2 linked regions of the Arabidopsis thaliana genome follow. The protein of the gene in region 1 interacts with the protein of each later gene in a pairwise test. Each region holds a gene or a part of one and is shown in the gene's direction. Other genes may lie near its edges.

Region 1 (6,113 bases):
TGATGGAACTGCCAAGCTTTGGGACATGCGTCAAAGAGGAGCCATACAAACATTTCCTGATAAATACCAAATCACTGCAGTCAGTTTCTCAGATGCAGCTGATAAGATTTTCACTGGTGGTGTAGACAATGATGTTAAGGTTTGGGACTTGAGAAAAGGTGAAGCCACCATGACACTTGAGGGCCATCAAGATACAATCACAGGTATGAGCTTAAGCCCAGACGGTTCCTACCTTCTCACTAATGGAATGGACAACAAGCTCTGTGTGTGGGACATGCGTCCTTATGCTCCACAAAACCGATGTGTAAAGATCTTTGAGGGGCATCAACACAACTTTGAGAAGAACCTGCTGAAATGTTCATGGTCACCTGATGGTACAAAAGTTACTGCCGGTAGCTCAGACCGTATGGTTCATATCTGGGACACAACCAGTCGGCGCACTATATATAAGCTCCCAGGCCATACCGGTTCTGTCAATGAGTGTGTTTTCCACCCAACCGAGCCTATCATTGGATCTTGCAGTAGTGATAAAAATATCTACTTGGGAGAGATCTGAATTTCAAAGCTGTGAAACCTTTGCAACTCTAAGTGGAATTGAAGTCTTTAGAATCGACGATGTGCTTTGAGACATTTTGTTTATTGAAAGAAAAAACGAAACATTGCTCTTTGGTACAAGTAATCAAGATTTGTTATCTCCTGTAATATCTTCATTACGCTCTTTATCTTCTTCTACTTTAACAGATGAGGTCATCATTTTAGTTCTCCTTAAAATTGTTATCTTTGGTATTACAATCTTGCAGTATCTTCGATTAGATTCTTACAGATTCAAGCAGTAGCAAGTATAAGCCCAGTCCAGTAACCAACTAACGCATATAAGTCTTTAGATTCAACAATGTGCTTAAGAAAGTTTGTCTATTGAAAGTAAAAAGCGAAACAGTGTTACTGCTACAAGTGATCAAGAAGAAGATTTGTTATCTCCTGTAATATCTTTATGCTCTTCATCTTCTTCTACTCTAACTTTGCTTCCACAGCAACCTCTTCTTCTATGTTCTTCAACCACAGTTTTTTTTACAATGCTGTCTCTTTTCTCTGCAAGCTCCAATCTTTTCTCCATAAACTCAGAATTCTCCTTCCAAATCTCTCCATTAGTGTAAACCTCTTTCTTCCATATCGGAACCGATGCCTTCAACTCGTCGATCAAGAACTTGCAAGCATCTAAACCATCTGCACGGTGAACAGATGAGACCGCAATGAGCACGCTAGTTTCTCCAACAGGAACTGGTCCAAGACGGTGAGCAACAGCAATCTTGTGGATATCCCAAGTTGATCTAGCAGTTGTACAGATCGAGCTGAGGCATCGTGTGGCCATTGGCACATATGCTTCATACCTTAACTCCAACACTGTCTTGCCCTCGAACATGTCTCTTGTAGTGCCTGAGAATGTCGCAATAGCACCAGCTTGAGGGGCACTGACATAATCAATGTACTTAACAACATCGACTTTGTGACCTTCCTCCAAGATCTCTATAAGGTTCTTCTCCTCTGCAGACATCTTTGATCCAATAGTAAACCTCGATACAATCGATGTTCTAGGAAGAGTAAACCAAGCTTAGCAGATGATCCGATAGCAAATTCTAACCTGCAATTGGAGGAAATAAACAACCATGACTATCTCATCACCTATCATCCAAAACTAATCAAACAGACAATTTGTTTAGTCAAAGGCAAACAGAGCAAATGAGGAACCTTTCTTGCGCAATCTAATGGCAATCACATCTTACTAATCCAGAAATGGAAGAGTCAAATCAACAAAGTAGGAGAATAGTGGACCAATGAACAAACTCAAAAAACGATGTCTCAAATCGGATTAAGAATTTGCCAAATCGGTCAATTTTTATTGAATCAGACAAAAACAGCAAAGGCACAAAACTCGTCTACAAAACTGACCAAAGTTCGAGTTTTTGTAAGATTGAGGATCGAATGGATAGAATCATAGAAAGACAGAGATAACGACAAAGAAGAATCGTCTCTTTCAGTACCTTACTACACTAAAAGTTTGTAATAACTTTAACAGCTACCCAGAAATTAAAAGAAGGCAAAGAACAAAAAGAGATCCAGAAAGATTTTATCTGACCTTTGAGAGTTTGGTAGGGCTGCATGATGAAGAAGAACATGTGCTCTATATTCACCTTCTTGTTGGATCAGACTAGTAGGTTGGTGAGATTGTAAAAAACAAAACTTTACTAATTCAATTTCAAAGTCTCTTCTTTTCTCCAGATACTCTGTTTTACCATTCAAGGAAAAAGGATAAATCTTGTAGAAAGAAGATGCCAAAATGATTTTTTTATTTAGAAATTAAACAGCGACGTCGTTTTGCAGCTACAGTGCGATCATCTAATCAGTCAGTGTCTTCAAGTTTAAACCGCATCTCTAGTCTCTCTCTACTTCTCTCTGTGTACAATATTCGGAAAGTGAGGAAGATACACTGAAGCAAAAGAGCAAGTCATGGCGGCGACATCTTCCTCTGCTTTTCTCCTTAATCCGTTGACTTCTCGCCACCGTCCTTTCAAATACTCGCCAGAGCTCTCTTCTCTCTCCTTATCCTCTCGAAAGGCTGCTGCTTTCGATGTTTCCTCAGCTGCTTTCACGCTCAAGAGACAGAGCCGGAGTGATGTTGTGTGCAAGGCTGTATCTATCAAGCCAGAAGCTGGTGTTGAAGGGCTCAATATCGCCGATAACGCCGCTCAGGTTAGATTGTGTTTCGTTTGCATTTGGATAGAGACAGAGGAAATCTAAATTGGTGATCAATTTTGTCAATTTAGGGGAAGATATAAACTAACTGAGTATTATTAGTCTTGTAAATTTGACTTCTTTGAATTTTGATTTCGTTTCTAATTTTTTTATATTCTTTCTGAATGTTATGAATTGATTCAGCTTATTGGGAAAACTCCGATGGTGTACTTGAACAATGTAGTCAAGGGCTGTGTTGCAAGTGTTGCTGCTAAGCTTGAGATCATGGAACCATGTTGCAGTGTCAAGGATAGGTTTGTGTATCCAAATATAATTTGATTTTGGTTTTGCTATCTTTCACATTTATACATTCTGAGCTTGTGTTGTTGTGGTGATTTCAGGATTGGGTACAGTATGATTACTGATGCTGAAGAGAAAGGACTTATAACACCTGGAAAGGTATTTGATTATGGATTTGACCTTTTATTGTTGTTGAATGATTCTGTATTGAGTGTCAACTGTCAAGCCCTCTGATTTTGTTTTCTTGCTGCAAATGTTTTAGAGTGTTCTTGTGGAATCTACGAGTGGGAACACAGGGATTGGCCTTGCATTCATTGCTGCTTCAAAAGGCTATAAACTTATCTTGACGATGCCTGCGTCCATGAGTTTGGAAAGGCGGGTTCTTTTGAGGGCATTTGGAGCTGAGCTTGTGTTAACTGAACCTGCAAAAGGTATGACTGGAGCAATTCAGAAGGCTGAAGAAATCTTGAAAAAAACTCCCAATTCCTACATGCTCCAACAGTTTGACAACCCTGCCAATCCCAAGGTCTGTAATTACTTCTTGTTTCATCATACTCTCTAACTGTGACATGAATTATGAGCTACGATTACTTCTGGCCTTGTACAGTAGTAAGAGGTGGTGTGTGAAAGGGTTCATTAGAGATGATAGTGAAATTCTTCCGCACTTCCTTTTGGATTGTTGTAGAGTTTCTATGGTATACAGTTTTGAATCATCACGATTATATCTGGGATTCACTGGTTCCATTGGTAAAAGCTGCAAGTATTTGTTAGTGTTTTGATATAAGATTAAATGCAGATTCATTATGAGACGACTGGTCCTGAGATTTGGGAAGATACAAGAGGCAAAATCGATATATTGGTTGCGGGGATTGGAACTGGTGGAACTATCACTGGTGTTGGTCGATTCATTAAAGAAAGAAAACCTGAATTGAAGGTACATAGCAAGAGGGCTTGTAGCATATCAGCTGGAATCAACTGTAGATGTTATAACCTCCGTAATTAGATTTAGTTGATGTTTACTTGTACTTGTAGTTATATTTAATTAGTTGATGTTTACTTGTACCAGGTTATTGGTGTCGAACCCACGGAAAGTGCTATACTTTCTGGTGGAAAACCCGGTAAGGCAGTGATTTTGTTTTTCTTGTTTCTCTGGCACGTTATTCTTTTTATCTTGCGTTTATTTGACATGTATTTGAAATGCAGGACCTCACAAGATTCAAGGAATTGGAGCTGGATTTGTACCCAAGAATTTGGATCTGGCTATTGTAGATGAATACATAGCGGTATGATCTGTTGGTTTGGTTCTCTATAACTATACATTCATCTTTTTCACTTTCAGCAAGCAACAATTTTCCTTTTTAACTTCACCTGTTTTGTTGCTTCTTATCAGATTTCCAGTGAGGAAGCTATTGAAACCTCGAAGCAACTAGCTCTCCAGGAAGGCTTGTTGGTTAGTCTATATTTGTTATTCTGTTTGACTTATTTGTTAGTGGGAACACTCTTTATAAAAGATAGAAAACGAATGTAAATGCATATGAGAAATCTATGACGATTAGTAAACGACTATAACCTTTTCAGGTTGGTATATCTTCTGGAGCTGCTGCTGCTGCTGCAATCCAGGTTGCAAAGAGACCTGAAAATGCCGGGAAACTCATAGCCGTAAGTCCTCAATGTTCTTCATCATAATTTCTTTATGGACCAAAACCTAGTCTTGTATCTGTGACCAACCACTGAATGATATAGAAAAAGAGTTCTTAAGTTATCTAATCATGAACCTTGGTCCTTTTAGAGTCTTACTACTTATTTTAACATTTGTATTTGAGTAGTTGGTTTGGTTTATACGTCTAATGAACGTTTACGTTGCCTTAATCTCTCTGCCACACCAAACCCTAGTCATTGCAAAGAACAAGAGAGGAGCTTAATCTCTCTGCCACACCAAACCCTAGTCATTGCAAAGAACAAGAGAGGAGCTTATTATTCAATTACTATAGCCCAACGTAGGGAATCAGTGAAAGGATTTTAGCTTAGTATGGAGTAAAAAATATAACAGATTCATCATATGTATAGTTTGATATGTGAGTTGCTGAATCTTGGTTTTCAGGTTGTGTTCCCGAGCTTCGGGGAACGTTACCTCTCGACCCAGCTTTTCCAGTCGATTCGAGAAGAGTGCGAGCAAATGCAGCCCGAGCTTTGATTTTCTTCTGTAATTTCGTGACCAACAAGGAACCTCTTCTTTGATTTATTGCTGATTGTTTTTCTTCTAATAGACGTTTCTGCAGAAATCTCTACGTCTACTGTGTATATTTACAATTCGCAACGCAATTTGGTGTTTGTTATTAATAAAGGCATAAGAGGTTTTGGTCAAACGAAGAGTCTTCTTCTTGAGCACAATTTTCGAGCGTTTTGTTTAATGTACCTGGAAACTTGTTTAGCTTTCTCCCAATGGAATCCATAAATGAAAGTTATGACGACTCTTCGAGTTTTGGACAAGACAGTCTCCTATATAATCGTCCTTTCGCCTATCTATATCTCTCCTTCCACTTAAAACTATTGTACTCTGTGCCTGCTTCTTATATAGCGATGATAAGAGCAGGATCAGTGGGAAAAAAATCGACATGTGAGTATACTTATTGGGACGACGGTGTTGGAGAAGAGGTGATGGGTGACGATAGTTGGGATTACGAGGGACGCAAGATCTCTCACATATATGTTGCTTTCGACGAAGTCATAATGTCTATTCAGTTTGGTTTTTTGGAGAATGGAGCTCTAGTCCTGTCTAAACAGCATGGTGGCATTGAGGAGGGCTCCAACTTTCGTGTTGTAAGTTTTGTGTCAATAACAATTATTTATTTTTGCGTTTGCGTAAGATCCGGTCAAGTTTTGTTTTTGATGAAGTTTAAACGCAGTTGAGACTGAATCAAGACGAATATGTAACTTGATTAAGTGGAGTACTAAGAAAGCATGGTGGAGGGATCAGAAATTTGACATTTCGCACTAACGTCGGGGAGTATATGATTGGACGTTCAAGCGACAATTATCCAAATCATTGGAAGATAGATATTGATCCGGCAATATGTGATGAA
Region 2 (5,089 bases), on another chromosome or scaffold:
TAAAAATAATTGGTGTTTTATCAGGTGATAGATAAAACATTTTGAGAAGTTAATTATATGTAAGTTTTTTGCGTAAAGGGGCTGTTATTGGAGGATTTTTCTTAAAGCTATTTTAAATATAAGTTTCTCTTACAAATTTGTGACTCTTAAATGTGGATGAGATTCGAGAAAAAGAGAGATTATTCCACTTACAGAAATGAAATGAAAAACGTTGGTCACGACGAGACCGTCAATCACGTCGACGCCGTGAATCCAGCCGAGAGACGCGTTTCGTTCTTTAGCCTTTTTCTGTCTTTCTTGTTTTGGTAAATAATAAGACGAAAAATATGAAACCAAAAAAATGAAGAAATTTATATGTCTAACGACTCTTTTCTTTGACTATAATCATCTTTTCTTTTTAGGTCCCAACCATTTCTTCTTGTATTATCTATCACATATCATCAGATCCAAAATCAACTTGATTAACTTCCTTACTGAATTAGATGTAATCAACGAACAACTTGGAATTATCTTAATCAATTCGTGTTGTTAGTTTGCATTTCTCTACTAATAATTGTCTACATAGATACTAACTTACCAAGTATCAAAGGATCCTAAGAAGTCCAAAATGATATCTCATTAGAAGTCAATTAATCCATATAATTAAGATTTTTAGTAAGAAATACATAGATGAACAATGATGTTAACATGTAAAGTTGCCTCAAAAAACATTCTCCTCCAATACCTTATATGAAATCAAATTAAGAATCATTTGAGAGCTTGGTTACACAATTTAAGTTTTTTCTTTACTTTGCTTTAGAATAAAAACAGTCTCATCCAGCTCCTGATAAGAGGTTTTAATATGCCTCTATGTTATTAACCAGCGTAAGTCCACAACTGATTTCAGTGGCTTATCATGATTCATGGATAGAGTTTGAGGGAGATTTTGGGACTTAGGAGACTGCTATACGCATAAGTTGTAGCACATATGGCTCAGTCTCTCATCATCCGTGTTGAAAACATACAATGGTCAGCACCTATTATGGATCGGGCCTATATGAAAAAAAAAAAAAAAAAAAAAAGCAACAGTTCTGGAGAGTTTCCATCATTCAATGTGTAAACTAATTTTCTTAAACATCTTGTTAATTTTCCTAAGATCTGAAGCATTAATGGGATTTCATATAGGCTTCAAAGGCTATATAAATTTTCCTATAGCCCAACTAAATATATTATCATATTGGGCTCACTTACTTGGAGTCTTGGACGGTTTAACAAGTTTGTACTATTGTTTATTATTCACAGCCTATTAACATAATTTAATCCTAATGCTATATTAATTAAATAGATTATATTCAATTAATTAGTTATACAGCAAACACAGGAGCTTTCTGTCCACATGCACGACCACCATGCATAGTCCCTTCTTTACGGTCTATATTCATTTGACCTCTTCATCTATATAATTTCATTTATTCCCCTAAGATTATTATACCAAAGTGAATAGAAAAAAAAAGAAACCGTCTATGCGTTTAGTTTTTCCCCAAATTGCTATAACTTAAATCATATAGATTTGTAGAGAAAATATCAGAAGAATACGAAAATTAAAAGTATGAGTAATTTTTTTATTAGCTGAAAAACGAGAATGCGAGAATTTTTATAAAGACAACTTTTTGTTTCGACCTTTTTTTTCTTCTTCCGCACGTGTTCCCTAATTCACCTAACTACAAGTCTACAAAGTACAAAACCCACTCACCATCCACACGTTACGATTTTGTCGTAAAGTATATACGATTATTCATTTTCTTTTTCTATTTGTCAAACGTGAATATTGTTTTTATTGTATTAAAAAGAATTATTTAGTTTTCAATTTTTGGTTGCTTCAAGAAAATACTCACTAACAATAACATACCAAAAATATTATCTTCCAATATCGTTTTATTAGAAAAGCGTCGAAATTGATACCTTAATTTTGTATGATATCAAGTAGTGAATCACATTTCTTAATACACAAATTAGCATAACGTTGCAAAAGAAAAAAAAAATTAGGAAGGAGAAAAAGAAAATGTATTCTTACAAAAACATTAACGTTGTTATACTACAACAAAGAAAATAATTATTTTTCTAGTTTGAAATACTTTTGAAAATCAACGTTGTTATTAACTTTTATATATTTATTTATTATTAATTTTCACAAAAAGTTGTTATTAAGGAGAAAAGTGTGTTGTTGTTTTATTTTATTTTATTTTTTAATCCAGGGAATAAATAATTTAACTATAACCACTTTAAGAAAATGTGACAGAGCCACCAAAAAGAGCATAAAAAGTAAAATTAAAATAATAATTATGATTTTGTATTAAAAGAAAGAAAGAAAAAAAAAGGAGAGGAGAAGAAGCAGTGGAGAGAGAGCATGTGAATAAAAAGCGTGAAGCTTTTTGATATCTCTTTCTCTTCCTCTTCCTTTCTCCTCCGATAGATTTCGCCGGCGATGGCGGTGGACTCCTTAGAAACGGAGATTGACACGGCGGTGCGTGTTGTCCACCTCGCTTCTTCTCTCTGTGTTAAAGTTCAAGAGAAGCTTCATCTTCCTAACGGTGGTCACGTTAAGTCTAAAGACGATGATTCCCCTGTCACCGTCGCTGGTTCGATTTCTCTGTTTCTCTGTTTTGTGTTCTGTTTTTTTCTAATTGTAATTTTGAGATCTGTTTGTGTTAAATAAAAAAAAAACGAATTTTTGATGTTGGATTGTGTAATCGAATAATCATGTTCTTTAATTCGTTGATAGATGAAACAAAATGTGTATTAAAATACAAAAGTTTGCAACTTTTCATCACTTCCAATGATTCTCTGTATTAGTAGTTCAATAGTGTATCAAAGTTTTAAACTTTTGTTGATTCACTTGACAGATTTTGGTGTACAAGCAATTGTGAGCTGGGTTTTAGCTGAAGTGTTTGGTGATCAAAACCTTTCAATTGTTGCTGAAGAAGACACTGAGACACTCTCTGAGGCTGATTCTTTAGGTCTTTTAGGAGCTGTGTCGAATGCGGTTAATGAAGCATTGTCCGAAGCTCAGAACTACGGGCTTCCGAAGCCAGTTAAGCCATTGGGGTCTAGTGAAATTCTTAAGGCTATTAGTAGATGTAACTCTGTTGGAGGACCTAAAGGAAGGCATTGGGTTCTTGATCCTGTTGATGGAACGTTAGGGTTTGTTCGTGGGGATCAGTATGCTGTTGCTTTAGCTTTGATAGAGAATGGTAAAGTTCTTTTGGGTGTACTAGGATGTCCTAATTATCCGGTTAAGAAAGAATGTTTAAGTAATGGTTGTAACCAAGCTATGAAGACGAAAGCTGTTGCTGGTTCAGTATCGAAAGGATGTGTTATGTATGCAAAGAGAGGTAGTGGTCAAGCTTGGATGCAACCTTTGATCGTTGGAGGAATACCAGAATCTGCAACACTTCTTAAGGTTTCTTCAGTTGATGATCCGGTTTTAGCTACAGTTTGTGAGCCAGTAGAGAGAGCAAACTCAAACCACTTGTTCACTGCAGGACTTGCCAATAGCATGGGAGTTAGGTAAATGTTGTTTATTCACTCTCTTATTCAAATGTTACGTTATTGACCAAAAGTTTTTTGCTCTGCAGAAAGCAGCCTATGCGAGTGTATAGCATGGTGAAATATGCAGCGATTGCACGTGGAGACGCTGAAGTGTTTATGAAGTTTGCACAGTCAAGTTACAAAGAGAAGATATGGGATCACGCAGCTGGAGTTGTTATTGTGGAAGAAGCTGGTGGTGTGGTGACTGATGCGGGAGGGAGAAACTTAGACTTCTCGAAAGGTGTTTACTTGGAAGGTCTTGACCGTGGAATCATCGCATGTTCTGGTCAAGTTTTACATGAGAAGATTATAGGTGCTGTTTATGCTAGTTGGGAATCTTCCAGTCTCTGAAAAAGCTTATCCACAATCCGTAGTTTGGTGCAGCATCATCGAGCCAAAGCAAAGGTAAAGAAGATAACAAATTGTCCTCTTCAAGATTGTAATCATATTTGTAGATTACTGCATAAGCTAGTGGTTTTTAATCGGTTTATTTGTTCCGGTTTAGGAGGAACAAGGGCCATTACGGTTTAGGATGAGCAAGGGCCAGTTTCAATGAATGTGAATGGCGGAGAAGTAAATATAGTCGAGGAAGCAGCGGTAAAAGTAAGAATCTAGTTTATTTACCTATCTAAGAGTAATAAAGCTGCTGCATTTCACGAACCCTTATGTTCTATGATCTTTAATGGATGATATCATTTTTAATCTTCGTCCTGTAATAATTCACCTTCAAAACGCGGATTATACATGTCGTTTTCCTGACAAAAGACAAAAATTAGTAAATTACTGAATAGGCTCTAACTTACTCCATGCTATTTCAATGGTTAACGACCCAAATTGTCTCTCAAATTTAAAGATTCAACTAGAAATTGCCGATAATATTGGTCCAGTTTTGGGCTAATAAATTTTGTTTATTGGGCCGACTCGATGACCATTTTAAAGAGGACTCAATAGATTTTTATTGATACGAAAATATTATTAAATCAGACCGAATTAAAATGCCTTGAACTCCGGTTTAGCCGACATGTTTGGCACCCTAATGAGAATAGCTTAGTTAGTTTTGTGTTAGTCTAAAGATTAAAAGTAAAAAGTTTGATTCTGCCGACAATTTCTTAGATTTGGTGCTATTTAAAAGATTTCCCTCTTCAATTTTATCGAATTCCAACCTTCAAATAGGCTTTTCCATACATTTATTGAAGAATTTATCATTATCAGTCACAATTATGTGTCTTCATCTTTATACGTACATAATTACTAGTAATAATTAAATTCTACTACTAATAGAGGACGGCCAAAGTGTCAGTAATGATGCATGAATGGTTAGTTGATAAACATCTCTTTCTTATGAATTCAATTTTTCAATTTTTTTTTTTTTTTTTTATATTTATTTCGTATACTTGTATTTTGTTGAATATTATTAATACATAGCTACATAAAATGTGATAAAAGATTAGGTAAAGTAACAATTGGTAAGAAAATATCACAAAGAAGCAAATGACAAGGATAGTCTCATAAGTCATAATCA

The links. Proteins that work in one complex are often made in the same cells at the same time.
Region 2: the proteins of OASB (region 1) and HL interact in a two-hybrid assay, tested with the Arabidopsis thaliana proteins (one large-scale study listed by BioGRID).

Annotation. Positions count from the first base shown.
Region 1 is NC_003071.7:18,128,715-18,134,827, reverse strand, and holds OASB (O-acetylserine (thiol) lyase B), read left to right. Parts: upstream 1-2,189; 5' UTR 2,190-2,505; coding exon 2,506-2,748; intron 2,749-2,934; coding exon 2,935-3,044; intron 3,045-3,131; coding exon 3,132-3,189; intron 3,190-3,292; coding exon 3,293-3,556; intron 3,557-3,826; coding exon 3,827-3,964; intron 3,965-4,096; coding exon 4,097-4,148; intron 4,149-4,233; coding exon 4,234-4,313; intron 4,314-4,420; coding exon 4,421-4,480; intron 4,481-4,608; coding exon 4,609-4,689; intron 4,690-4,986; exon of another isoform or gene 4,987-5,131; coding exon 5,132-5,224; 3' UTR 5,225-5,393; downstream 5,394-6,113. Other genes in the region: AT2G43770 (Transducin/WD40 repeat-like superfamily protein), read left to right, coding at 1-556; AT2G43760 (molybdopterin biosynthesis MoaE family protein), read right to left, coding at 956-1,552; AT2G43745 (jacalin lectin-like protein), read left to right, coding at 5,473-5,850, 5,937-5,969. UniProt on the Arabidopsis thaliana protein: Acts as a major cysteine synthase.
Region 2 is NC_003076.8:22,083,669-22,088,757, forward strand, and holds HL (HAL2-like protein), read left to right. Parts: upstream 1-2,329; 5' UTR 2,330-2,464; coding exon 2,465-2,618; intron 2,619-2,882; coding exon 2,883-3,546; intron 3,547-3,614; coding exon 3,615-3,918; 3' UTR 3,919-3,972; intron 3,973-4,072; 3' UTR 4,073-4,426; downstream 4,427-5,089. UniProt on the Arabidopsis thaliana protein: Phosphatase that converts adenosine 3'-phosphate 5'-phosphosulfate (PAPS) to adenosine 5'-phosphosulfate (APS) and 3'-phosphoadenosine 5'-phosphate (3'-PAP) to AMP. May regulate the flux of sulfur in the sulfur-activation pathway by converting PAPS to APS.